Sus scrofa: one gene and its partners. The protein of the gene in region 2 purifies or fractionates together with the protein of the main gene of each other region. This does not show direct contact. Links are inferred from orthologs where the notes say so. Each region holds a gene or a part of one and is shown on either strand. Other genes may lie near its edges.

What was found.
Region 1: the proteins of SQSTM1 (region 2) and NIPSNAP2 purify together in Homo sapiens (affinity purification with mass spectrometry; 4 studies listed by BioGRID and IntAct, with this or other methods). This does not show direct contact. The link is inferred for Sus scrofa from reciprocal best matches to the Homo sapiens genes SQSTM1 and NIPSNAP2.
Region 3: the proteins of SQSTM1 (region 2) and CD44 purify together in Homo sapiens (affinity purification with mass spectrometry; 3 studies listed by BioGRID and IntAct, counting the BioPlex papers as one, with this or other methods). This does not show direct contact. The link is inferred for Sus scrofa from reciprocal best matches to the Homo sapiens genes SQSTM1 and CD44.
Region 4: the proteins of SQSTM1 (region 2) and VANGL2 purify together in Homo sapiens (affinity purification with western blotting; 3 studies listed by BioGRID, with this or other methods). This does not show direct contact. The link is inferred for Sus scrofa from reciprocal best matches to the Homo sapiens genes SQSTM1 and VANGL2.
Region 5: the proteins of SQSTM1 (region 2) and RPTOR purify together in Homo sapiens (affinity purification with western blotting; 3 studies listed by BioGRID). This does not show direct contact. The link is inferred for Sus scrofa from reciprocal best matches to the Homo sapiens genes SQSTM1 and RPTOR.
Region 6: the proteins of SQSTM1 (region 2) and VDR purify together in Homo sapiens (affinity purification with western blotting; 3 studies listed by BioGRID and IntAct, with this or other methods). This does not show direct contact. The link is inferred for Sus scrofa from reciprocal best matches to the Homo sapiens genes SQSTM1 and VDR.
Region 7: the proteins of SQSTM1 (region 2) and SPRED2 purify together in Homo sapiens (affinity purification with western blotting; 3 studies listed by BioGRID). This does not show direct contact. The link is inferred for Sus scrofa from reciprocal best matches to the Homo sapiens genes SQSTM1 and SPRED2.

The regions. Positions count from the first base shown.
Region 1 is NC_010445.4:16,938,968-16,943,065, forward strand, and holds the start of NIPSNAP2 (protein NipSnap homolog 2), read right to left. Parts: upstream 2,801-4,098; 5' UTR 2,691-2,800; coding exon 2,599-2,690; intron 1-2,598. UniProt on the Homo sapiens protein: Protein involved in mitophagy by facilitating recruitment of the autophagy machinery required for clearance of damaged mitochondria.
Region 2 is NC_010444.4:78,753,999-78,757,498, forward strand, and holds part of SQSTM1 (sequestosome-1), read right to left. Parts: intron 1,363-3,500; coding exon 1,148-1,362; intron 870-1,147; coding exon 674-869; intron 1-673. UniProt on the Homo sapiens protein: Molecular adapter required for selective macroautophagy (aggrephagy) by acting as a bridge between polyubiquitinated proteins and autophagosomes.
Region 3 is NC_010444.4:25,881,361-25,885,340, forward strand, and holds the start of CD44 (CD44 antigen), read right to left. Parts: upstream 2,801-3,980; 5' UTR 2,704-2,800; coding exon 2,601-2,703; intron 1-2,600. UniProt on the Homo sapiens protein: Cell-surface receptor that plays a role in cell-cell interactions, cell adhesion and migration, helping them to sense and respond to changes in the tissue microenvironment.
Region 4 is NC_010446.5:90,054,098-90,056,701, forward strand, and holds part of VANGL2 (vang-like protein 2), read right to left. Parts: intron 2,480-2,604; coding exon 2,248-2,479; intron 1,478-2,247; coding exon 1,217-1,477; 3' UTR 1-1,216. UniProt on the Homo sapiens protein: Involved in the control of early morphogenesis and patterning of both axial midline structures and the development of neural plate. Plays a role in the regulation of planar cell polarity, particularly in the orientation of stereociliary bundles in the cochlea.
Region 5 is NC_010454.4:1,989,045-1,993,325, forward strand, and holds the start of RPTOR (regulatory-associated protein of mTOR), read right to left. Parts: upstream 2,801-4,281; 5' UTR 1,724-2,800; coding exon 1,562-1,723; intron 1-1,561. UniProt on the Homo sapiens protein: Component of the mechanistic target of rapamycin complex 1 (mTORC1), an evolutionarily conserved central nutrient sensor that stimulates anabolic reactions and macromolecule biosynthesis to promote cellular biomass generation and growth.
Region 6 is NC_010447.5:78,263,678-78,267,937, forward strand, and holds the start of VDR (vitamin D3 receptor), read right to left. Parts: upstream 2,801-4,260; 5' UTR 2,765-2,800; intron 1-2,764.
Region 7 is NC_010445.4:76,642,646-76,646,145, reverse strand, and holds part of SPRED2 (sprouty-related, EVH1 domain-containing protein 2), read right to left. Parts: intron 2,443-3,500; coding exon 2,293-2,442; intron 1-2,292. UniProt on the Homo sapiens protein: Negatively regulates Ras signaling pathways and downstream activation of MAP kinases. Recruits and translocates NF1 to the cell membrane, thereby enabling NF1-dependent hydrolysis of active GTP-bound Ras to inactive GDP-bound Ras.

The DNA of each region.
Region 1 (4,098 bases), on a different chromosome or scaffold from region 2:
GAATTCCTAGCAAGCTCTCAGTGGCCAGCACCTCGTGTGCCTTATTCACTGACGCTTCCCAACAGCACCTGGCAGGTGGCCGGCACGCTCACCTAGGCAACAAACAGCTCTAGGTAAATGGCACCAGCATCCTCCCCGCTGGCCATTACCTTGATTCTGTCCCCCTTTCAAAGCCAGACTGGTATTTTATTTTTTATGTTTTCCTTTTTAGGGCCACACCTGCAGTGTATGGAAGTTCCTAGGCTAGGGGTCAAATTGGAGCTGCCGCTGTTGGCCTGCGCCACCGCCACGTGGGATCTGAGCCACATCTGTGACCGATGCCACAACTTGCAGCAATGCCAGATCCTTAACCCACTGAGCAAGGCCAGGGATGGAACCTGCAACCTCATGGATACCATGTCAGGTTCTTAACCCACTGAGCCACAACGGGAACTCTCCAGACTGATCTTTTAAAAATGTAGATCAGAGCATGTTACCCTAGGGCTTATACCTTTAAATGTTTTCCAGGGCTCAGAATAAAATGCAAACTCTCTAAATAGCTGTAAGGCCTGGAATTTTCTGGCCCCTGCTCCTTGCCACCTGTCTTGTTTTCCTTTCACTCCTGCCTCCTAGATTTTTCTGGGGTTTCCCAGCATGTCTGACTCCTCCCCTTCAGGGCTTTCATGCCCACTTACCCTTCAGGTCTCAGTATGACATCACCTTGTCCGAGAGGCCTTCCATGACCTCATGTGGGAAGCTCCCTGATTTTGTCCCATGGCACCTACCTCCATCTGTAAGTCTCTATGGGTTTTCATCTCAGCCACGGCTTCCTGGGGAGAGCGACCACAGCTCTTACGCTCAGGTCCAGCGGGCTTCAAAGACACCGTATACACTCAATATGTGATAGAATCAATGAATTGACTGGGTCTAGACTGAGTCCTAAAGTTGAGGCAGTTAAAGGTTAAGGCAGACTAGAGCCCAGGAAGGAGTAGTCAGAAGGTACAGGGGACCTTGGATAGAGACAAGGACCCCAGTGTCGAGAGCATGTGGCCCCAGCAGGAACCTGGGGTATCCCAGGTGACCTTGGGCCCTTTAAGTGAACACCTTCAGGCGCAGCTTTTTTTTTTTCTCTTTCGGGCCGCACCCATGGCACATGGAGGTTTCCAGACTAGGGGTCAAATTAGAGCTACAGCCACTGGCCACAGCCATAGCCACGTCAGATCCAAGCCGCGTTCTGCAACATACACCACAGCTCAGAGCAACGCCACATCCTTAACCCACTGAGCAAGGCTAGGGATCAAACCCGCAACCTCAAGTTTCCTAGTCCGATTCATTTCCACTACACCACAAGGGGAACTCCCTCAGCTGTCTTTTTTGAAAAAAAGGAAATATCAATTTCATGGGCTTCTATCACTTGTGGGGAAAAATAAACAGTAGATACTTAATAACAGAATAAAAATAAAAGAGGGTTGATTTGTTGATCAACTTGGAAACATAAACATCCAATTTTGTAACACAACTTGAGCAGCAGTCCTTACAAGGGCACTGGGCCTGAAGTGTAACCAACTTGGGTTCAAATGCCTTTTCTAGCCACGTGTCTTCAGCAGGTTGAGGTTCCTTCTCATCTCTAAGATGTAGATCCTATTACTTCCTTCTTAAGATTGCTACTAGGATTACACTAAATAAATAAGCTGTTATCATATAAAGCTGGCCCACATTAAGAGTTTTAACAGGTACTTCCTTCCCTTTTCCATTTTTTGAAATGCCAACTGTATTTTCTAGAGGCTCACTATTGAAGATAAACAACAAGATAAAATTCATATAACCTAACGTAAATAAACCGGGAAAGCAAATGGACGTGTAAATTGGTTGATATGGGCTCTGGTTTTTCAACTGGGCAAACAGGACATGGCTGTGTCCGGGATGGACTCAGAAAATCGAATATGTAATCCAATGAGGTTAGGAAAAAAGTTTAAACATGAACCCACCCCCTACTTCGTGCTGATAACTGTACATACTTTTTTGATCCACTACCTACTTTTCAATGCAAGTCAACAACTGTCCGTAAGGCGGACACCTCTTGGCTACTTCCCCAATCTCCACTGAGGGATCGCCGGGGCCGATGTATTATTTTATTTCTTCACAGCAACCTAGGAGGTGAGTGGTAGGTACCTCCACTACCGTTTACAGATGCTGACACTGAGGCTTTGCGCGGGCGAGCAGCTTTCTCAGGACGCCCTGCAGGAACCCCGAGGCCCAAGTTCAAGGCCTGCGGCCTCAGCCACGCGCTGGCCGCTGCCCCACGACTCCGGGTCGCGCAGGGTCAAGGTCCAACAGGCCGGGCCGGCTCCGCGCGCGGACGTGGCTTCGGCGCTGGGTGTCATTCCCGCCATGACCTTGAGCCCCGCCGGCCCGGCAGCAGGCGCTCCGACCCTGCCGAGGCTCCGGCTCGCCCCGCCACGCGGACCGCGGCCTCAGCCCAGCCGCCCCACAGCCCCGGCGGCCCTGCCCCATGGGAACGCTACCGAGCCAGGGCGGAGACCCGCGCCGAGGACCCCGCGCCCTCCGCCCCGCGGCGGCCCCTCCCCGGCCGCTCCCGGAAAGGGCGGCGCTGCTCACCGGAGCCCGGGCAGGAGGCTGCAGGGGGCGGCCCGCCACAGGAAGCCGCCGCCTGAGGCCGCTCCGCCGGCGCGCAACACTCGCGCCGCCATCTTGCTCCGGAGCCTCGACTCCCACCGCCCCGGCCTCCGCTGACGCCGCCGCCGCCGCCGCCGCCGCCGCGACCCCTCCCCCGGCCGGGCCCGCCGAGGCGGGGGGCGGGGCGGGGCGGGGCGGGGCAGGGCGTGCGGCCGCTGCAGTGCGGGGCGCGACCGCCAGGGGGAGTGGGGCCCAGGACGCTGCAGCGCGGGGAGCGGCCGCCAGGGGGAGCGGGGGGGGCGCAGAGGTCTGGTCCTCAGTGCGTCCTGGCACTGAGGTCCCGGAGTTGCAAGAAAGGAGCGGGAAGCCTGAGGGCAACCGATTTTGAGACTTCAAGCTCCGACGAAAGGAGCTCGGTGCCCAGCACAGGGGCCACCCAGGGGTCGAGGGCAAGGCTTGAACATACGTGGAGAGATTCACCGGAAGAGAGTAACACAGTTCCTAGGGGAATCCAGGGCCTGGGGGCGAATCTGAGAGGCAGCTTCTTTTTAGATTTTGCACCAAGTACATACATTGCCTTTTCAAAAATAAATTACGCTTTAATAAAAACATTCTCGTTCTGGATGGAAACATACTCAGATACTCTCGTGGTCTCCGGACTCCTTGTTCTGTTGATGTGAGCATGCCGCTGGGTGTGAAATGATCGGAGTGTGTCAAGTGTGAGAATGGAGAGGTTGACAAGACCGGAAGGGAGCCCGGGCTGGAGAGTGCGTCCCCAGGGGTGCCTGGAAAGTGGAAGAAAGACCCTGGGGAGCTGGCACAGCGTCCTGGTCCCAAGGAAAGAGCAGACAGGTGGAGGGAGGGAGAACTCCGGCCGCCCAAGGAAACAGCTTAAACAAAGGCGTGGGTTGAAGTTCCCGTCGTGGCTTGTTGGTTAATGAACCCGACTAGTATCTATGAGGATGCAGGTTCCATCCCTGGCCTTGCTCAGTGGGTTAAGGATCTGGCGTTCCGTGAGCTGCAGTGTAGGTCGCAAGTGCGGCATCGGATCTGATTTTGCTGTGGCTGTGGCGTACGGCTGCCGCTGCAGCTCCAATTCAACCTCTAGCCTGTTTGGGAGAAATGTATCCTGTGGGGAAATAAAAGAACCACTGATAGAATCATGAAACCGCAGCTAAGAGCTAGACAGAAAATTGAGGAGCAGTTAAGCTCCTATTAGATCCCTAGCCTGGGAACATCCATATGCCATAAGTGCGGTCCTAAAGAGACAAAAAGACCAAAAAAAAAGAAAATGGGGAGAAACAGGGGAGGAGCTTCCCAGCCACCAAAGGGGGCATTTTCATGGCCCAGAAGAAAATGTCCTTAAGACTGGGTAGATTACAGATCTCTAGGAGGGGTGGGGACAGGCACTCAGCTTGTGTGTGGAGGGGTCTCTGGAGTTGGTAATTCTAAAGATGAAGGGAGGAGGAGGGGGCTTCAGGG
Region 2 (3,500 bases):
TCTAATTTTCCCAGGTTGACTTTTTTCCAATCATTATAAAAATGAAAAAATCATTCTTGGTTCATAGGTCATAGTTTGCCACTCTGCGCCCAAAGGCAGAGAAGGTAGCTCCTAGTAGCCCAAGGGCTAAATTTTGGCCCAGATGGGTTTCCCCTTGAATACTGTTTTAAACATTACTGTCATGTGACAGTAATGAGCCACGGCAGGATGTCTGTCACCTCTTCAGTGTGTGTTCTCCAGGCTGCCATACTCTGCAGCCAGCCCCGCTGCCTTCCACATCACCCACTTCTCACAGTGACTTCCTGCCTGGCTCCTGGCAGAACCGTGGCTGTGACCCCTGCTCTCAGGGTGGCACTTTCTGTGGGGAAACGATGACGATGGACTAAGTCCACCTTCAGTAGTGTGTGGCAGTGGCAGTACCAGAGCCAGTGCCACCTCTGTAGCACATCTGCCTTCATAATTCCAGGCCTGGGCGTTAAGTTTAAGGAATTACTAAAATGAGCTGAGCTCACTAGGGCTCAGTGTAGACACAGGGAAGAAAACCACCCCCTACTTTTCTCTCATGTCAACAGACAGGCCCCACAGTAGAGAACATGACATCTTTCTGTGTTGCTAAAAGCAGAATATTGTCAACAGAAAAGGCAGAAATACAAAACTGCTTGAGATCACTTGCCTGGTGGCAGATGTGGGTACAATGCCGCTTCCTTCAGCCCTGTGGGTCCTTCCTGGGAAGGGTTCAGAGAGCTTGGCCCTTCAGATTCAGGCATCTGTAGAGACTGGAGTTCACCTGTAGACGGGTCCACCTCTTTGGAAGATAAATGGGTCCAGTCATCGTCTCCTCCTGAACAGTTGTCAGACTCCATCTGTTCCTGGAACAAACCCCGCCTTGTGAACACACAAGAACAAGAGGCCCACCTGACTACAGCCTCGATTCCTGGGACAGGTGGGGCATGGAGGACCAGCAAGAGGCTATAGGAATATGTTTTCTTTAGAGTTCTCGTGGAGGGTTCACAGAATGACTTGGATAACACCAACTTGACTCTGCAACAGAAATGGGGCCCACTAGCCGTGAGTGCTGGGGAGGGGCTGTGCTTAGGGTGCTGGGAGACACTGGCAGCCTCAGGGGATGGGGCGGGAGGATGCTTGCCTCAGGCTGCACCCCCGACTCCAGGGCGATCTTATTCATTTGCTCCACCAGACACTGGGCCGTGCCCTCCACCTCCCCGTCCGGCTTGCTAGGGTCGGAAGAGCAGCTGCTCGGCTGAGAGCTGCACTTGTCCTCTGTGCTGGAGCTGCCTGGGGAGGTGGGTGTCAGGCGGCTTCTCTTCCCTCCATGTTCCACGTCAATATCGACTTCGATGCCTAGGAGCCAGGGAGAAAACAAAAACTTGATTGATCCCAGCTAACATCCTGGGTCAGCTTCAGAGCCAGAAAGTCCATAAAGGGCCTTTGTCTTGCCCCTCACTGTGCAGGACAGCGGCTGCACGGCAGGCAGGGCCTGGCCCAAGGAACAGGGTGAGAGCCAAATACCACGTGTGGCCAGAACCACCCCCGCTACGGCGCCGAGGACACAGAAAGCACCGCACTTGTGTTCAGGGAAAAGCATGCAGAGTGAACGCTCAAATTCTGCTTATGAGGCAGGCAGACAGGCCGTGCGAGCTCTGTGAGGCCCACGAGGCTGGAAGCACAGGGCACCCGGCCACCTCCAGGCTCTCCAGCTCTGGGGTAGTGCTCACTGAGGAGCAGGGAGAGCACAATCACCGGAGCTATGTTTGTAATTAAGCAATTTTAATTTGTTACGGGACTACATGCCCACAGCTTAGAATCAAGTAATTCCAAAAGGCTATAGAAGATTCCCAACCCCCTGCCACACAGCCCGGCCTGCTCTCCGGAGACAGCTTGCAACCAACCCTCAGTGCTCCTTCCTTCTTTCTTGACGGTTTACAGTTCATTTCTTGCCCTGGAAGAGTAACACTTACCTCCCCTTCTTTCAAAAATTCCAGTTTTGGTGCAGACAACCTTCAGTGTTTCCATTAGCGCTGCGATATAAACATCATCTTGGCTGGGCCAAGTAGTGGACTTACTTCCTTGCAGAGTGTCTCTGTTTCTGCAGCATGACTGCTGCCCTGTTTCATGTGCTAACTTTCCCCATTTTCTCCCATAGCTTCTCGATCATGTTCTCTGCATGGGTTCAGTGTGTTGGATGCTCCACAGGTGGTTTTCTTTCCTGGAGATCAGCCCTCTTGGGCACAGAGCCTGCAGCTCCAGCCTGGAATGGGCAGAGGCACAGCTCCTACGCCTTTCCTTCCATTCCTGACAACTTTTTCTGCTTTCATACTTGGATCATGTCAGATGAGACTACTGCCTTCTGGCTCCCAGGGCTGTGCTCTTGAATCCCCAAGCTTTTCCAGCAACCCGGAGTATTTCAGGAAGCTCTCTTTCTCTCAAGGGTTCTGACATGTGATGACAACAAGCTCTGATGTGGGGTCTTTTCAGTCATTGTTCAAGGCACTTGGGGTCCCTTTCAATCCAGAGATTATAGTTTCCTTCGTGCCAAGAGACCATCTTATACTCTGTTAATCTCCTCCATTCTGTTTACTCTGTTTTCGTTCTGGAATCCCTTCATACTACACTGGGCCTCCAGGATTAACCCTCAAATTACCCCATCTTTTCTCTCCTTCTGCCTCTGTTTTGCTTCTAGAATATTTCCTTGAGATGATCTTAAAACCTAAGGTTTCTTTTGAAGTTTTCTTCTTTTTTTTTCCTAATTCCAAGAACATTCTTCTTCGGCTCCCTTTTGTTAGCATTGGCAGGGTATCCTAGTTGTCATGGATGCAGCTACTTTTCTGTACCTGAGGATGCTAACATTCTCTTCTCTATTGCATCCGTTCTCGAGTTCCTTCTTTCCCATGTGTGGAAGTTTTCCCAAATGGTTGATGATCCATGGCTGTCTGATCCTAACGAGGCACTAGGAAGCCGCACTCTGGGGGGCCAGGGCCGTCATGAGCTTCCATCTTCAGGGTGCCGGGGAGCAGGGCCAGGCACTGGGGTCCTGGGTCGCAGAGAGAGTCCCTGATGCATTTAGCGTCTCCTGAGCAGGGACTCCCTGGCTCCTGCCAGACTCCCTCTCATTCATGATGCCCAACCGCAGGCTGGTGCCTCACCCTGTCCTGCATCCCCAGGGGCCCCACCCCCGAAGCTTCCCTTTGTCAAGTGCGCCAGCAATTAAACACCAGGTCTCCCTGGAGCATGGGCAAGGGCCAGCACCTGGCGGAGTGGGACCCTGAGGTCTCCGTCCCCTTGTTCCCTGGCCTTCCCTGGTCCCTGCACAGCCAATCTTGCTCCTCACTGGCATCCCTCAGTTGCTCACTGCCCTCCATCCATTTCTCAACTTCCAGGAGTTTTGTGACATTGTTTTATCTTACTCTTCATTACTTTTTTCCCTTTTTCTCTATCCATGTTGCTTTGTACTTGTTTTGTTTAATCCCCCTATTATTTTT
Region 3 (3,980 bases), about 53 Mb from region 2:
GTAAGATGTCCGTTGTGTGTCTATTTGGGGAACATCTGAAGTAATTGATGCTAACTAACCTCAGCACTGATGGAGTTTTGCTTCCTTGCTTCTTTGCCTGGGACAACACAGCCAAAGTCCAACTCCTGGAAGAGGGGGTCTCTAAAGCTCAGAGGGATCAGCAGGCTGCCTGCCACCCCCAAACCCCACTACTGTCAGATGCACCCCTCTTTCTAAACACCAGGAGTGAAATTCCTTAGCAATGACCTCTCACCCACAGAGGAGAGGAGAAGGAGAGGGACGAGGGCTCCCCCCAATGCCCGCCACCCAGGGCTACTTTATTCCTCCCACTGTGACACCCAGTTCAAGAGATCTATTCTCCAGCTTAAAGAGTCTGGGTCCAATGCTGCTTGAGTGCATTCGGCCACATCGCCACTTCTTGCTCTCCAGTAGGGAGATGGGAGCTTTCTTCCTTCCCGAAGCCTCGCCCCTTCCCACAGTTTCCTCACTGTCCTCCAGAGCCCACTGCCTCCACTAGCAGCGGGGCAACAGCAGAACCTCCCCGCCTCCTCTTTCTCCTTCCCTTCTCTGCCTGCCCAGCCCAAGCCTGCTGTTAAGTCACGTCTCCTTTCCAAGTCTCAGTTCCTTTCAAACAACTTTACAAGCACATGAAAGCCTGGGCCCCAGCAGTTATTGCTACAGGCACTTTTGGGCGCTTCCTCCAAATGATGCTGCCCAAAGGGACCACAAAAACTCCGGGCAGGAGAGCCTGCTGGTCTGGGGAGGAACTTCAAGGGTCAAGACAGTGCTGAATATTGGGGGATGGGGCCCTTAAGAAGAATCAGGGCTACAGGATGGAGGGAGTCAGGAGTCAGAATTCTCAGAAACAAAGCAGAAGATGACACAGGAACATAATGTACAAATAAACTTCCTTAGAGGTCACAGAGACACCAACCTGGTTCCTCTTCACTGAGACCAGGCTCAGGGCTCCCCCTGGAATCTTCCCCTCTTCTCTCCCCGCCCCAGCATTTCTGCCTTTCCACGGCTCCTTGGAGGTCTAGTTCCTTGCCTTTGAAAGCCTCCTCTAAGGGCTCTGGTCCACCACGACCCCACCTTCCATAAAATCTTTTCTGAGAGTCTGTCTATGCCACACACCCAGCCTAACATATTCTGATTAAGCAATAGGCTCAGGGGTCTGGTTCACACGACCACCCATCCTTCTGGCTGTGTGAACATCAGCAAGTCACTTAACCTCTCTGAGCTTCACTGTGTTTCCCTCCTGTAAAAAAAAAAAAAAAAAAAAAAAAAAGGCTAACAACACCACACTGGGCCATCACAAGGGTGAAATGAGATAACCCAAGTCAAGAATTCAGCACAGTGCCTGGCACAGCAAAAGTGCATAAGAAATAGTAGCTAGTGCAGTCATCCCTATTAATATTAATTATTATGATCGGTGATTACTTTTGTTCTGTTTGAGGAATCTACATCTTAGATCCCCACATGTCCTTCTAATGCACCCAACTAGGATTGTGTCTTTTACTTTCTTGGTACTCCCAGGGTTGTGTTTAATAAACACTTGCTGAGTGGAATTAACCATAGGTTGAGCTGTTCTAATGACCCAGCTGGCACTTCTTAAAAGAAAAATAATTAATTTTTCTAGCGATAACCAAATCAGCCATGTAATTATCTGTACCTCTATAGACAAAAGAAAGGAATGCTTGGAGTTCAGCCTCACCAATACATCACACACAGCCTCTCCCCCCAACAGCCACTGAAGGGCATGGAGCCTATTGGGATGGGATATTGGCAGCCCCAGATCCAGGATTCCTGATGCCACCCTGGTGCCCAGGTTCCCCCATCCTGCCTAGAGGCTGCCAGGCAGGGAATACGAGCCACATCGCTGCTGGCTGGATTTCCCCTAACTGATCGGCAGAAGCAGGAGGTTGCCAGGACCTAGCAGCTGGCCCAGTCAGTGCCTCTCCTATTCACACTCCCTGACCCAGGCTGGCACCTCGTGGAGACCCAGAACCTTGCCACAGTGCTGGTTCAGGTTCCCACAGTGTTAAGATCCTTAGTGACTGGAGCCAACTGTAAGAGCCTTGGAACCCAGGACCCCTTTCTAGAAAGCTCATGGCCACCAGCCCTCACACATAGCCACTGTGCCCACCTCTATGGCCACCTCGCCAACAGCCCTGCCTCTGCCCTAGCCCCTGTCCCTGCCCTGCCCAGCTCTGCCCGGCCACAGCCCAGCCGGGCTTCCAGCGCCCTTGGGCACCAGAGCCTGTTAGTCCAGACGCGCGGGCTGTGCGCGCCCAGGAATACAGTTACTTTCTGCCTTGTGCTTCTAGGGCTCCAACAACCTCACCCAAAACTGCGCGCCACCGCCGGCAGCCTGCCCAGCAAACTTTTCTTCGTTCTTTCTCTTTTCAACAAAACGGTGCTTTCCACCAACAGGCTCTCCACCAGCTTAGCGCAAATCCGTGCCCGGCTCTCCTTCCCCAAATCCCAGCCGCTCGCCGCCCACTTGACTCAGGTGCCCCAGGGCCAACTCAACCCGCGCGACTGCCGGCGGGTCCCGGCCACTCCTGTCACTCCCTCCCACCGCCTCGGCAGGCACTCACCGATCTGCGCCAGGCTCAGCTGCACGAGGCAGAGTCCCCAAGCTGCGCGCCACCAAAAGGTGTCCATGGCGTCGGAACGACGGAGAGAGTGAGCGGGTGACATGGAAGGGCCGGGGCGCTGGGCGGGGGCCGGCAGAGCACTGGACGAGCAGGGCGCCAGAACCTGTCCGAGGCTGGGGTCCGGCTGGCAGTGAGGGCGCCTGGGAAGTTGGGTGCAGTTTTTATTCGAGGGTTGAGTGAGTGACCTAAGAGGGAGGGAGCGAGCGGAGGACACACCCAAGCGAGGGGGCTGTGACTAAGCAGCCGGCAGAAGTTTAAAGACGTACCGGCTCTCCTTGGCGCTGGCCTCGCTGCCCCCGCCCCCTTCTCCACGGAGATGGTAACACCGGGTGCCAAAGCGGGTGCCCCGGGGGGCCGCGGGGTTCCATCGTACCGGGAGGCACCGGCTTTCCGCTCCAGAGGCGACTGGGAGCCCAGCCTTTGGACGCAGCAGGGAATGACTGAGTCGTAAAACTTCAGCCCTTTGGGATCAGCCTCTGGCTTCTCCTCTTTACTGTTTCTCTTTGCATCTGGCTGGGGAGCTCTTCTCCCTGGGTTTTCAGAGGCAGCTGGATATTCTGGGAGAAGAGCTGGGACAGAGCCAGGTCCTGCCCTGGAGAGTGGTGCTTCCCTGCCCATGATGGGGAGCTTGTGATTCTTCCCAGGGAAGAGAGGAAGTGCACATTCTTCTTCCCTCGAAGGAGAAGGAAGTTCACAGCCTCAGGTGGATTTTTGATTCTTATCAGGACCACTCAGAGAAGGCTAATGATAACCAGCCACTGACCCACCTGTTATCATCCAGCCTCAGGCTGGCACCTGGAACCATCCACCCATTCATCCACGCACTCACTCACACACTCATTCATCCTCCCAAGTATCCTTCCATCCACTGATTCATCTCTCTACCCATCTTACCTTACCTCCCTCCAGGGCTCGTGCATCTGTCCATCCAGTAGACACTCACAGCCATCCATCCTTCTTTCCATGCATTTATCTAACCACATATCCTTCCAACCACCCTCTCATCCAGCTTCTCATCCAGCTGTCCTTAATCTTTTCATATTTCTTTGTTTTTTTTTTTTGTTTTTTTTTTTTTTTTTTTTTGTCTTTTTGCTATTTCTTGAGCCACTCCCGCGGCATATGGAGGTTCCCAGGCTAGGGGTCCAATCAGAGCTGTAGCCACCGGCCTACACCACAGCCACAGCAACGCAGGATCTGAGCCGCGTCTGCGACCTACACCACAGCTCACGGCAACGCCGGATCGTTAACCCACTGAGCAAGGGCAGGGACCGAACCTGCAACCTTATGGTTCCTAGTCGGATTCTTTAACCACTGCACCAC
Region 4 (2,604 bases), on a different chromosome or scaffold from region 2:
GGAGACCAGAGCCCAGAAAACCAGGCAGGGAGGGAATGGGAATTGGGGGTGGGGTGGGGGAGGACCCTGGCCGGCCAAGGAAAAGAGACCCCTGAGGCAAAGAAGTGGACTTAAGGCAGGGGATGAGGAGAAGCTGCTGGCTTCCCCCCAAACAAGAGATGAGGCTACAGGTCTCCGGAGCTGAGAGAGGAGACAGCAGGACATCGGGTGGTTGGTGAGAGAAAGAAGAACGTTTGTCTGAGGCCGCCAGCGTGGGCTGCGGTCTGCAAGCCACTAATTCTGTCCAGGAGTCTCCGTGGCATCCTTCACAGGGAAGGGGGAGGAGACTCATCCCACCACGCAGGCGCAGAGGGTAGGGGTCAGGGACGTCCGTGGGGCTCTCTCGTGCCCGTCCGCCAGGGACCGCCTAGGAAAGACCAATGAGAAGAAAGGTACTGCGCCCCAGGGCCTAGGAAAAGGGGTCACAGAGGGTTTCCGTCTCAGTTTGCCCGTGGTCACACGTGACCACACAAAGTCGAAGTGGAAGGCGGAGACTTCAGGGTAAAGGATGGGATCTTCCCTTTGCTCTGAGTGTGTGGATGGGGGGAGAGGCTCCAGCAGCTAGAAGCAAATATTCCTGGAGGGAGACCCCTGACTCTGGGGCCGTGTGGGAGCATCCTGGCCCGAGGACGCCCGGTCGGCTGCAGGTGGGTGAGTGGGCAGAAGATCCACCTGTCACCTGGAGGGTGCGGGCAGCGCTGCCCGGGGGGAGTTTGGCATCTCGGCCCTCTCGAGTCAGGTCAGCACCCCCACCACCCCGAGGAACCCTTTTAGGGGCCACTGGAGAGAACTGCTAGGAGAACCTGGGTTCAAGAGAGTCGGGCTCGAGTGGGCCCTGTGCCCTTTCAGAAGAGACGGTCGCCCAGAGAAAGGAGAGAGAGAGAGGCACTGATTTCTGCAGGGCCTGGCGAGATACAAAAGTGAGGAGGATGGGAGCAAAGAGAGGGACTTCCCGGGGACGGCTGACAGCAGAATGGTCTCTCCAGGTTCACACGGGGTCAACAAGGAAGAGGGGAGCAGACAGGTGGGGGGGCCAGTTCATTCAAGTAAAAAAAAACACTAGCGCAAGAGGAAGAAGGGTGGCAGCGGGAAGGTGGTAGCGCCTGAGAGCCGGGCCCCCACCACCACCCTCAGGAGCCCCCCCTCCGTGTCTCCCACTCCCCCTGCTGTTGCACAGTCACACTGAAGTCTCCGACTGCAGCCTCATGACAAACTTGTGCGACTTGGGATCCACAAATTCCTCGGAGAGTTTGAAGAACGGGACCTTCTTGGTGCTGACCACCAGGCTGAAGTCCTGGCGTTTCAAGAGGAAAACGATGCCGTCCTTGAGCCCGTTGGTCACCGGCTCCTCGCTCACCAGTGTCCACTGCTTGGCCAGCCAGCGTTCCTTGTGGTACTGGATGGTGGGTCCGGCCGCCAGGTACCGCTCCAGGAAGGCCTGAGGAAGGGAGAGGGGACGTCACAGGAAGCTCTCCCGTGCACCTACCATCCTTTACCCCCTGGCAGTACAGCTTCCAAAGACCACCAAGATGTCCCCAAGCCCACCCTCTGCATCCGGTCTCAGAGGGTGAGAGTGGGAAAGGGAGCACCTGCCTCAGACCCATTTCATAAAGGCGGGAGCGGAGCCCCCAGCAAGATCAGGACTGGGGCTTGGCTCTCCGGACCCCTCAGCCTCTGCTCTTCCCTGGCACCTGCCACGGCCCGGGCAAGCCCTCCCTCATCCACCCTCCCTCTTCCTTCTGCTCATATGGGCAGTGCCCAGCAGGTCTGCACCAGCTGAAAGCTGTCACAGTTGAACTGCAACTTCTTTCGTCACCTGTTCCCTACAGGTGGCTCAGAGGTTGGGATCCTAGGAAGCTGCCCGTGGAGCTGAAGGGCAGGAGTGGCTCAAAAAGAGTACAGAGCAGAGAGCATCTGCGGAGGTGAGGGAGGTAAAGTGGGACATTGGATCTGAAAATCCCAGAACGTCTACAGGTTGAGAAAGAGGTCTCGGCCATTCTCAAAATGGTCTCCCAACTCCTTCCTCTCCTTACACCTAAGGTGGGGTGGATGGAATACGGATGAAAGGAGAGACTATAAGGAGGTAGAGATGAGAGAGAGCAGGATGGAGGGGAAGGAAGGAAGGGAGAGAAGACAGGAGAAGGATGTGGAGAGGAAGGGGCCAGAACTGGGGGCAGACGAAGGCTGCCAGGGGCAGAGCCGGCCCACCTTGGGCGTCATGTCGTGCGTGATGCAGAACTCAAGGTGCTGCAGGATGCTTTCCATGGTGTGGTACGGCTGCTGCTTGGTGGTGCGAAGGTACTTCTGCATGGCACGGGCCATGGAGGCGAAGATGGCCTGGGCTGCCTCCCGGGGGTCCATCACCTCCCTGGGGTTCTTCTGCTCCTCTTCCTGCAGCCGCTTAATGTGAGTGAAGGCCTCCTCCACCGCCACCACAAGCCTGGGGGACACGAGGGGTGTGGGCCAGATGCCCACCTCTCACCTTCCCCTGCAGCTTCACCTTCCAGCAGCCTGGTGAGGTCAGGCCTTTGTGCTGAAGCAGTACACACCTGGCCGGAGCCAAGA
Region 5 (4,281 bases), on a different chromosome or scaffold from region 2:
ATGGGTGTGGCCCTAAAAAGACAAACAAACAAACAAAAAACATTTTTAAAAAATAAAAAATATATCCATTAAGCAGTTTTGAACAGTTTGACCAAGGGTTTAAGGTAGCCAAGGGAACTACATGTCAAAAGGGAAAAAAAAAAAAAAAAAAAGGAAGGGCCTCCAAACAGGAGAAAAAAGATGACCACAGAATTACGTTGTTTTTTTTTTTTTTTTTTTTGGCCATGCCTGCAGCATGCAGAAGTTCCAGGACTGGGGATCAAACCTATGCCACAGCAGCAACTCGATCCCTCGATCCATAGCAATGACTACCCCAGAACCTCAACCCACTGAGACACCAGAGAACTCCATGCAGTTACTTTTAAAATATATTTTTTGAGATATGCTTTGCAACCATGAAAGCTCTGAACTATCTATTTAGTATGAAACATATCCATAAGACAGACTCTATACATTCTCTTCCAGTGACCAACTCTTTTACTCCTTAGACTGCTTTTGTATCAATCAAATTTTCCTAACCTTTTAAAGAGAAGCCAGGTAATACCTGAAGCACCAGTTACTAGTGACTGACCACCTAGAATGACCATGAGGATAAGCGCATATATGTTCAACATCACCTACTAAAAACAACAATCTTATATAAACATCTTCATAAGCCCAGAGCAACCACATTACATGATAACACCAAATACCTCTCTTATACCAAAATGTTCAAAGAAACAAAGAGTCTTAAAGAAGGAGAAAACGAAACACAAAGAGACAAATTCTAAGCACGTACAGATGAGAGAGTCCCATCCTTCTGCTCTGGAGACCAGGAAAATAGTTCTCCAAATTAAGGTCAGATTTAACAAAATTGTTTCCTTTACTGTAAGCTGCTTGTGAGTTGCTATCCACATCCCAGCACCACGAAGACCCCCTAAAACCTAAACCCCCGTTTCACCCCGTCATACTCCAACTGCACTATTAGAGAAATTCCGTCTCCAAGTAACAGTAACAAGACACCACACAAAAGGAGGACAGTCTGGATTCCAGAAAGCTGTTTAGAAGGCTATGATGGAGTTCACCGTAACTTTGAAATAACTACGCATGAACTTGTTACCACCTGAACATTTGCCAGTAACCTTGTTTCCTAGCATACGATACTGGACTTCTGCACTTGCCCTAGCTTGGACCGAAAAAGTAAATTAGCCACAAAAGTAGACTAACCACGTGGGTACAAATATTATGTCCCAAGCTGTTTTTCCTCTAAGTGTTAACAGTGCCAAGTATATCAAGGGGCATGTGACAATGCTGGGTTTTCTAACATACTTAACTTGGACTGTCTGAATTAGAACTTAGTTTGTACCGAATTAACTCTCCAGGGAATAACTGCGAACCGAAACAGCCTTTTCCACTTACAGCCAAGACCCAGAGTCTGAAATGGTTTGTGCTTTTTGGTTGACTTGAAACACACAGCTGGGAAAAAATACCGCCGCTTTCCCAAGGACACTCCTCTGGCTCTAAACTAACTTCCCTGAAAAAAACTACCAAGGTCCAAGGGGCGCAGGCGCGATCCACTTACCCGATCCTTCATTCTCCAGCTCTGAGCTAAGGACTTGGAGCCTTCAATTTTCTCACAGTGCCTCTTTTTCATAAAAGCCAAAGGCAGGTTCCAGTCTGTAAGGTCGGCCTCATCGTCCTCCCCGAGTCCCAGGAGGGGCGACTGCAGCATCTCGGACTCCATCACTGGGGGAGGGGGTGGGGGAGTCCTGGGCAGCAAGCGCTCGAGAACCTCCAGCCTTGAAAACCAGTGTGTACCAGAATTGGCGAACGAATACACAGAAGAGGGAGGAGTAGAAAATGAAACGGATAGTGAGTGTGCGGAGACCCTCACTCAGGCAAAAAGTCTGCGATCCTTCTCTAACTCTGCGCGGGAAGTCGGAGGCGTGGGAAGAGCGGTGGGAAATGAGGGAACCCAAGGAGCTCCGCACAGACACAGGCGGCCCAGATCCCAAGCCACCGGCTGCTTCCGCGGCTGTCGGTTCCCGGGGGGCTGCGAGCGGAGCTGTCAAAGGCGTGCGAGACTCCAGGCCTCACGATGACCCTGCCCTCGGCCTCCAACGCCTCAGCCGATCCGAGGACAGGCAGGCCGCCCGCTCTTGGTGCCGGGTCGCCGACCGGGCTGAGGTCTCCGGCCGAGGGGAAGAGGTTCAGAGAGCTTCGGGTCTCCTGCAGCCACTCTCAGCCTTGCGGGTCCCGCACTCGCCGGAGCTGCTGCAACCAGAGCCAGGACCGGCCCATCGTGCTCGCCCGCAGCCGGCTCCTCAGCCCCGAGTCCGCGCGGCCTGGCTGGTCCTGGCCTCCGGCCCCGTGGCCCTCTCCTCCCTGAGAACGAGTCCTTAGAAACGGGCGACACGGAGCCGTGGAGAAAAATGCGTAATGTGGGCTTATTGGGTCTCGGGACTTTTGCCCTCTGGTTTGAAGCTACAGTGAAACTCCGCTCATCAGCACATCAAGGAGGACGCCATATTGCCGAGGCCCAGCATGCAGCGCGACTACGGCGTGCCTAACAGGCCAAATGTCCTCAGAGCGTTCCGGCCCGTGCGTCCCAGGAAACTGCGAGAGGGTTCCCCCCCCGTTACTATGGTTACCACGATTCAGTTTGCCAGAGTTTATTGCCATTCGTTCAAGAGATGCGTCATATCGAAGTCAGTCCTATAAATGAAACTCTGTTAATTAATTTTGGAAAAAAAGCTTTTTATTATTACAAATGGACCTACATGCTTCTGAAATTAAAGGAATCGACCCCTTGTTTCTTCCAGATTGTGAAAAAGCTGCAAGGCTTTTGATAATATTACAAAAGAAGATCGTGTTTGGGGTGGGGAGTTGTAGTATCCGCCACAGTAGCGATCAGATTTTATTTTTTTCAGGGGACACTAAGTGAAAAAAAATGTATTTTCTGAGTGGTTTATTCCTTGATATAGTTTCATGTGCAAACAACTAAAAGCTACAGATTTTTCTTTTCTTTTTTGTCTTTTCCAGGGCCGAACCCGCGGCATATGCAGGTTCCCAGGCTAGGGGTCGAATCAGAGCTGTGGCCACTGGCCTACACCACAGCCACAGCAACGTGGGATCCGAGCTGTGTCTGCAACCTACACCACAGCTCACGGCAACACTGGATCCTTAACCCACTGAGCAAGGCCAGGGATCGAACCCGCAACCTCATGGTTCCTAGTCGGATTCGTTAACCACTGAGCCACGACAGGAACTCCAAAAGCTACAGATTTCTATGCATGGCAGCCCTCCTGTGTTACTTTATTGTTCTATTTGGTAAACACTGTCTATTCACCATGTGTGGAGAACTGTGTCCCAAGCAGCATGCAGGCTGCCTTCAGTAAACGTAGTATATAGGGAGACACATGTGCAACCGGTGCATAAAGCTGGTAAGGGCCTGAGAAACTCAACTCCCCTCTTCGTTTCACCCTGAGGTCAGACCACCTGAAGCTGCATCTCGGCTGCATCTCTCCATCTCCGTGACCTTGGTCAGTCCGTTAACGACTCAGTCTCAGCTTCCTCAGCTGTAAAACTGGGTTAAGAATACCCATCTTAGGAGTTCCCCTTGTGGCTCAGCGGGTTAAGAACCCAACCAGTATTCATGAGGATATGGGTCGGATCCCTGGCCTCGCTCAGTGGGTTAAGGATCCGGCATTGCCGTGAGCTGTGGTGTAGGTCACCGATGGGGCTCAGGTCCTGAGGTGCCGTTGCTGTGGCTTTGGCTGTGGCATAGGCCGGCAGCTGCAGCTCTTATTCGACTACCAGCCTGGGAACTCCTATATACCACAAGTGTGGCCCTCAAAAAACAAATAACAACAAAAACAAAAGAAACCCACCCTAAAGGATAAATTAACCTATGTAAGCATCTAGTATGCAGTGAGCACCCAATACAATGCCAGCAGTGATGGGTCTCTCGCTAGAGTGAAATCTAGCAGCCCCATGAGCTTTACTCATCTAAAACTTCAGGCTGGGCTCTAGAAGATACTCTTTTTTTTCAGTGTGGTTTCCTAGGGCTTTGACACCCTATGGCAGTCCATCTCAAAATACTGATGGCAGGAGTTCTCGGGTGGCCCAGCAGTTAAAGACTTGGTGTTGTCCCTGCTGGGGCTGAGGTTCAACCCCCGGCCCAGGAACTTCCTCATGCCACGGGCATGGCCAAAAAAAAAAAATCCTGATGGCATTTGTGTTCCTTTCAACATCCGAGTAAATAGTGCAATCCCAGATTATTCTCACCTAGCATACAGCAGA
Region 6 (4,260 bases), on a different chromosome or scaffold from region 2:
ATAACTATTAATCACACCCCTTTCACTCTTGAAAGCCTCTTAGTGTGGGCAATAAATCATATAGTCACTCTCTCTAGCACATCCAAGAGGGCACTGACACAAGAGAGGGTCCGTGGAGCATCAGAGAAAAGCGTAACTAGAAGCAAGACCTGAGTGGTTCAGAGCAACAGCTGGGCTGGCTTTCACCCAGCTGGATCCCCTGAGAATGGACAGTAGTGGAGGGAGCCGCTAGCTACGGCCCGGCCCTGGCTCAGACCATCTAGAGGGAGGAGGCCCTGTCTGGCTGGTGGGTCCCTGCTCCCTGTCATCCCTCGGAGGGTCTACTACCAGGCTAGAGCAGGCTTTTCAGCAAATCTTGTCATTTCCTCACTTCTCTTGACTTGCATCCAAGACAGACTTGGGCAGGGTTAAGCTGGAACCCTATAACTCATCCTGCCCAGCGACACACTGCATCGCCTGCCAGCTTGGACTTCCAGGGGCTCCTGACTCTGGCTCTTCGGTCACAGAACCCACCTGCTGGACATAAGCACTGGCAGGTTTCTAGCAAACTCTGGTTTTCCGGCAGGATGGCTGCTGCCTCCCCAGGGTGTAAGGTAAAGAAATGAGCAACGGCAAGTCCTCCTCCGGTCTTGGATAACCACTTGGTCTGGCCCACCAGACCCCAGGCTTTCCTCCAAATGTGGAAGACATCGGCTTTGGACCCTGGCTATTTGTTCTGGGAGTGGAAGGTTGGGGTGCAAGAGGTCCTCTTGGTGCTTCCTCTGGGACTCAGTCCCCAAAGGAGATCAATTCTGAGGTTGAATAAGGAAGGAAGACTGAGAAACCGTAAACACAAGGAACCAGGGCCCGTCAAACAGCATCAGGCCTTTCACAGTATTTATACAAGTCAAGTCTGATGGTCTTGACTGAAGAGCTGCGAGGGCTCAGGAAAGCTTCCTATTCTTTCCCTCCTGCCTCGTCCCACTCTCCTCTTTTCTTATCCTTTTTCACTTTCCTTCCCTTCTTATCCATTACCCTGGAAGGGGTCCAAGTCGTGGCTGATGAGGGGCCAAGCCAGAGCACAGATTGTGAATTCCCCAGCTTTTTTGTAGTTTGAGTCAGCCCCATAGCCGGTGGTGGATTCATCTCAAATGGGTCCACAGAGGCCACTGAGTAGGGGGGACGGGAGCTCTGAGGCCCCTACTTCTACTCAAGGATCTGAAGTACCCAAAACAAAAGCCAGAGAGAAATCCGCAGTCTTAAAAACCTCCGGGTCTGGCTGCATGCAACCCTGACACCATTCCAGAAGGATCCTCCAGCACAAGGACAGGGAAGAGATGAGAAAAGTTCCCCGACACTCTTGGTTTATAGAATGGAGGCTCTAGTGTCCAGATAAACCATTTCCACCTCAGCAAACCACCCCCACTTCCTGGCCTGACTTAAAACTTTTGCCAACACCATGGCTTCCCTCATCCCAGAATCTTTCCTGATTTCTTGTGCACACCCAGCTCCCTAACAGAGATGGGCGGCTCACAAGATCGCTAGGCAGAAAGGGAATGAGGGGCTAGAAACGTCTGCCATGCTGGGATGCACCTCCTGATCCTAGGAGAATAAGAGATGTGGATTTACCACAAAGCCACAATCCCTTCCCAGTCAACCCGTTCTGGAGTCATATTGCAGCCATCCCATAATCATCCCTGTGTTGGGTGTCCCCTTCAGAAATGGTAACCATCGGCCATGAGGAAGCCAGACTTCCAGCAGAGAGCTGGGGCAGAGCTGAACTCTGCCCAGGAGAGCTTTTGCAATGCTCAGAAAATGCCTGCCCAACTGCTTGCCTGGGCTCTGGCCCCTCTGGCTGCAACTGAGCCCAGACAGGAGGCTGACTCACTCACCGCACAGAGAAGGAGGAAGAGGAGGAGGAGAAGGAGGAGAAGGAGGAGGAGGAGATGCGGGAAGGGCCTGGGCTCAGAGACCCAGGGCTCTCCCAGCCCAGGCAGCCTGTGTCTCAGCCTCAGCGGTCCATGGGGGGAGAGCGCAGTGTCCACTGCTTCTCAGATACCATATGATGTTCGCTCCTAGACACTTCCCTGAAATCCTCCTCGCCTACCACACACAGATGTGGGGGCCGTCACTCCCCAAACAGAACTACTCCCTGAGCCCCCTCCTCAATTAGATGCTTGTATCTGATTTCCTCTGAACATCAATGGACAAGCTCCTCCGAAAAAAACAAGTCCAGTGCACTAGGGTCAACCAGGTCTAAAATAATTGGTTAAGAAAAAAAAAAAAAGTCAAGAAAAGAAGAGAAAAACCAACTCTCCTTAAAAGATCTGGCTCCACCATCGCAGAGGACCATACCTGGGTTCTACAAGATAACAAAGCTAACCACACTCCACCCCCAGAAGACCTCAGTACTGTTTGAGAGGCAATCTCTCCCTTTCTTATTCCTCCAGTCCATGCCAAGGCGCCCGACAGAAGAAGGAAACAAATGCTTCTTGTTGCCCAAGTGCTGAGCACTGTGCTGGAGGAGCATTTCTGCGATCGGCCGGCTGAGCACTGAGGGGGTCGCTGCTCCCCTCGCCAACCTGGCACGAACTTAGGCTCTTTCTCAGACCTCAGTGTCCCCTCGGTGCTCCAGCCTCAGGGCAAAATCTCGGTCGCCAAGTTTGCCCAGACTCCAGCGCTTGCACCTGGGCACTCAGGCCAGTACCCCCGACACCTCCACCTCCGGCCTATCCTGATCCTGGGGGACCCCCCGCCCCCCTTCCCGCCGCTCCCACGTCCGCACCTGGTCCGGCGGATGGGCACGCTGCTCCGCGCTCCCGGCGCCTAGGGCTCGGCGGCTGCCTTTTGACAAGCAGAGACAGCCCGGCACCTGGCCCCGCCCTCGCAAGGCCCCGCCCCAGGCCCCGCCCCACCTCTGGGCCCCGCCCACAGGTCCGGTTCTCGCTTTCCGAGAGCTCCAAACAGGCTGCAACCATCTTGACTTGGACTCAACCACTGCACTGTCGCCTGAGGCTGCCCAGTGTAGTCCTCCACGACGGCCGTCCATAGAGCAAGGAAGCTCTGCCCTTCGTGCGTGAGAGCTTTCGATGGTTATGTGTGTGCAGAGCCACGATTCTGCCTGCGACGATCCGTGAGGCCTCCCCTCTCCCTCCGCCGCCATGTTTCCTCGGACGCCTCTTCAGGCGCGTCGCCCCCACCTGGGCTGACCCCGCCAGGACTTCTCCGCGGTTTGCGGGGCTCTGGGGGGCGCGCGCAGCCAGCATCCGCGGCGCTCTCCGTGCTCTTGGGGACTCCCGGGCGCCGCCCACCGTCGTGTGACTCCGGCTAAGCGTCAGGGAGCTGAGCCCGATCCCACACGCTAGGATAAAATAGCGAACGAAAACGGGGCCGAAGTGGAGTACAGCGATGTATCATCATCCCTTCTCTGTCCCCTCGGGCGCGACTGAGTCTGACCACGTTCTCGGCCCCTTCGAAAACCTCGTCCAAAAAAGCTTAGTCTCAGCGTCCCTGGTCCCTAGTCCCCAGCTTCAGCCACCCACCCCATCTGACACTGGTGTGAAGAGAAGGGAGTGCATCCTGAGACCTGGACTTGTAGGTGGGTGCCAAAAATTCTCCATAGAAAATCTTGGCTAAAATCTCCGTTTCCTTGGCTTATGAGCTAGGCACCGCTCTAGATGCTAGAGGTCGCGGAAAAAAGACAGCTTCCTCCTTAGAGCTCACTGTCCAGTGGGAGAGTGCAGAAATAAATAGTAATTACAGTGAAATGTCCCATAACAGAGATGCCCACCAAGTCATCCAGCAGTTGATGACCCCTTTTAGGCAGGGAAGATGTTGCCATTCACCTTCTCCAAAGGATGAAACCATGGCTCAGAGGGACAGGCTGAGCGGGTGGGAAACTGAGGTACAGAGAGGTTAAGTTTTTTGCGCATCACACAGCTATTGGATGAAGGGCAGTACTAGAGCTCAGCAAGCATGCTGCTGCAATAGCCTTGTACCCATTTCTGAAAGTTATGTGAAACTGTAGGATAGCCAGCCTCTCTCAAACTTTCAATAACTGGATCAAGAGAAATTGACTGGGACGTAACAGAAAAAACAAAAACAAACAAAACCCCTTGCAAACAGGGAAGTTTGTTAACCACTGGAATAGTTCATTAAGGGAGTATCATGGACAGTTTCTGGAAAGATAAAACAAAAAAATAGAGGAGTGTTTGATTGAACTTGGGATGGACAGTTTATTCCGAGAAACAGATGAAAGGTGGTGTCCCTTTGGAGGCCCTG
Region 7 (3,500 bases), on a different chromosome or scaffold from region 2:
ATTACCCTCTGTCCGGGGAAGTATACACACTGTTAAGAATCAAGGGTGAATTTTCAGAAGCTGGACATGCCCAGATCGAAAAAGCAGAACTGGAGGCCCTCCCTGGGATATCCTCATCTCCCTTCAGTGACCTCTGACCACCTAAGGTGACAGTGACTGCTATCCTGATTTCTAATGGCTTACTTTCACCTGTTTTGAAACAGTGTGCTCTCTTTTGTAAGATTGGCTGTTTTTTTTTTTTTTTTTTCCAGTGAAGCAAAAGAACATTGGAGTGTGTTGCATGTTTTAAGGTATGTTCATTTGTTACCTTTGTGTACATCTGTAACGTGCACTGGGCCACAATACTAAATGCATATCTCACTTTGGGCCATGCTCAAAAAAGCAAAAGTGGACACTAGAAATTATGAGGCTCACAGGGACCTTGTCATCTGGTTGGGAAGGTAAGATGCTGGGATATGCAAAACCTAAGAGTGCAGGCTCCAGAGGCCAACTGCCTGGGTTCAAATCCTGCCAGGATCTATTTGACACATAGCAGCAGAGCTAAGATCTGAGCCCTGGGGGAAGGCCTGATTCAGAGCCACACCTTTTAGCCTTCAGACCAACCTGCGTTTTCCCTTAGGGTCAATCAGTCATCTCTGCAGTCAGGCTGGCTCTGGTGTGCACCAGTGCCTTGTCCAGAGAGACAGGCACTAAATAGTGGATTCAGGTAAGCCTGCCTTGCACCAGGCATCCCAGTTGTGGAAGACAATTGAGAGTTTCCACCTTTGAAGCCCTCTGAGCATAAAGGCTTTTTTTTTTTTTTGTCTTTTTGCCTTTTTTCTAGGGCCGCTTCCATGGCATATGGAGGTTCCCAGGATAGGGGTCAAATCGGAGCAGTAGCTGCCAGCCTATGCCAGAGCCACAGCAACGCGGGATCTGAGCCACATCTGCAACCTACACCACAGCTCACGGCAATGCCGGATCCTTAACCCACTGAGCAAGGCCAGGAACCGAACCTGCAACCTCATGGTTCCTAGTCAGATTCGTTAACCACTGTGCCACAACGGGGACTCCATGAGCATAAAGGCTTTTTAAGGAGTGAGGAGCATAGCTCTGAATAAACCCATTGGAGTGGAAACTTCCTAGCAAATTGCTAAGCCTCAGACTCCATTTCTCTTGACTATCAAACTGAACAGGGCTATTGTGAGAATGAAGAGAAAGAATCTATGCAGTGTCAGCACAGGGCCTGTCACATAGGACACACTTGATACCTGTTGCCAATGTCCTCCTTATAATATTGTCATAGAGTTTATCACATGGTAATTAGGCGTATCCATCACTTTCCACAAAATCGTGAGCTCCTGGAGGGCAGGGGCCATGTCTTGCAGGCGTTGCCCTAATTCCTGCCAAATTCTTGATGTCAGAGTTTCCCTGACTTTGGAAAAATCACAACCCTGCAGTACTTCAAAACAAATCTTGGGAGTTGACATAGACTTTGCTAATGATTTATTTTGCAAAGTAAGGAGAGTCAAAAAGTCAGTTCCCATTTACTGCTACCTTAATGTGATTTTAAAATAGAACATTTTAGTGCCAAAATATTAGGAAGCACACACTTAGATGATTTGGAAAGAAGAGTCATATATATCTATCTTTACGTTAAAAACCCCAGGTGCCTCATGCTTCTTCTCTTTTCAAAGCAGACTGGTGGCCACATCTTACTACCTGGGCCCCAGGCTATGGCCCACAGTTCGGGAACCTCTCTGAAAAACAGCCGCTTGGTAAATATTTGCTGAATTACTGAATTCCAGCTACAGCTCCCCAAGAAAGCCGGGGTCTGCAGCCCAAGATGCCAGGGTGCCTGAGCCAAGGGTACAGTATTCTGTGGTCCTGATCATGGCTTGGCTCTGTGCTTTCACACAAAGCCAGGAGGCCCTTTGGACAGAGAAAGGTACGAGGCAGTGTGGCACCTTGGGTGAGGAGAGACGGGCATTTGAATCTTGTGCCACTAGGGACCCTCCCTAGGCCGCAGCCTCCTCATCTATAAAGTGGGGATGCAGAGGACCAGCTTGCGGGTAACCTGTGTGCATTAAAGGAGATAAAGCATGTGAAGGGTCTGGCAAGGTGTCTGGCACACAGAGCACTCGGAGTAAGGGTGAGTCGCCCCCACCCCTCCGATGAGGGGGTGGGGGTACAAAGCGGGAGAACTGAAGAGGCCTAGGCTCGGGCACGTGGCTGAACGGGAAGGGGAGGAGGCTGTTCCAGAATCTCAAGCCACCCACCCCCTGGCCTCTGAGGCATGAGATGGCTGCTCACCTGTTCGAGGTGATAGTGGTCCGTGGGGTAAGGGTCGTGGAGGTGGCCCAGGGTATAAATCCTCCGGTGCTCACAGGATGTGGGGGAGGAGATCGTCCGCGTAGGTTGTTCCCTCTTCTGAGACGAATTTGAAGAACTGTCTGTAGCTGTCTGTGTAGAATGAGGTACCCATGAGTTAATTAAAAAAAAAAAAAAACAAAAAACGAAAACAAAACCCAAAACCAAACCCACACAAAAATTCTAACACACCGTCTACTCTGACCTGTGGTGTCTTGCTGGACTTCCCGACATCCTGAGTTTATCTTGGCCTGAAGGGCCAGGTCGTCTAAACACGGCGGGCAGAGAAACCAGCCACCAGACCCTGGAAAGCTGGGTTTGTTTTCTCAAATGTGGGAGCAGGCCTGGCTCTGGGGAGGGGCTCACCGCTCCAGGCCCCCTGCTGGCGCACTCCCGTTTGATCAAGAATGGTACCCGTTTGTGGCCCAGGCTGTGGGGTCCTCGGGTAAGCAGAGAAGATGCATGCAAGCAAATATCAAACCCAAGTGTTTCTTTGTGGGGCTCCCTCCAGCCTGGGAAAGTCTGAGATAAGGATGTCTCGCAGGGGCATTCTGGGTACTGACTTTCCAGGAAGAAATTTTACAATCCTCTCCAGATGTCTTGCACTCAGGGATGAAGGCCACCATCTCTGAGGGTGAGTGCAGAGCAGTTTTCCCAGGAGAGTTCAGAATGGAGCCTCCAGGACAGTCTCTTTGGAAGGTGGTCAGATATCAGGATGGATTATGGCCTTCCAGTATACCCACCACCTAGGTGCTTCGTGCTCCCAGCCTGTGCCGCCCTCCACAACCCTATGGCCCAGCAGCCACATGCTCATAAAAGGCTTTGCCAAGTACAACTGGCACCTGCCTTAAAAGACCAGGGGCCCCTCGGAACCCCCATTCCATTTTCCACATCCTTAGAATGATGGACCCTTCTCTCTTTTTCTTTTTTGCTCTGCCTGTGGTGTGCCAAAGTTCCTGAACCAGTGATCAAACTTGTGCCACAGCAGTGACAATGCTGGATCCTTAACCCACTGAGCCACCAGGGAACTCCTCCCATCTTTCTTTTATCCACAAATAAATAAAAAGGTTTTCCTTAATATCTAGATGTCCTCTTTCTAGTAAGTATCTAGGAACTTCTGGTAAAAAACCTAGCTGCTTCTCACTTTTACA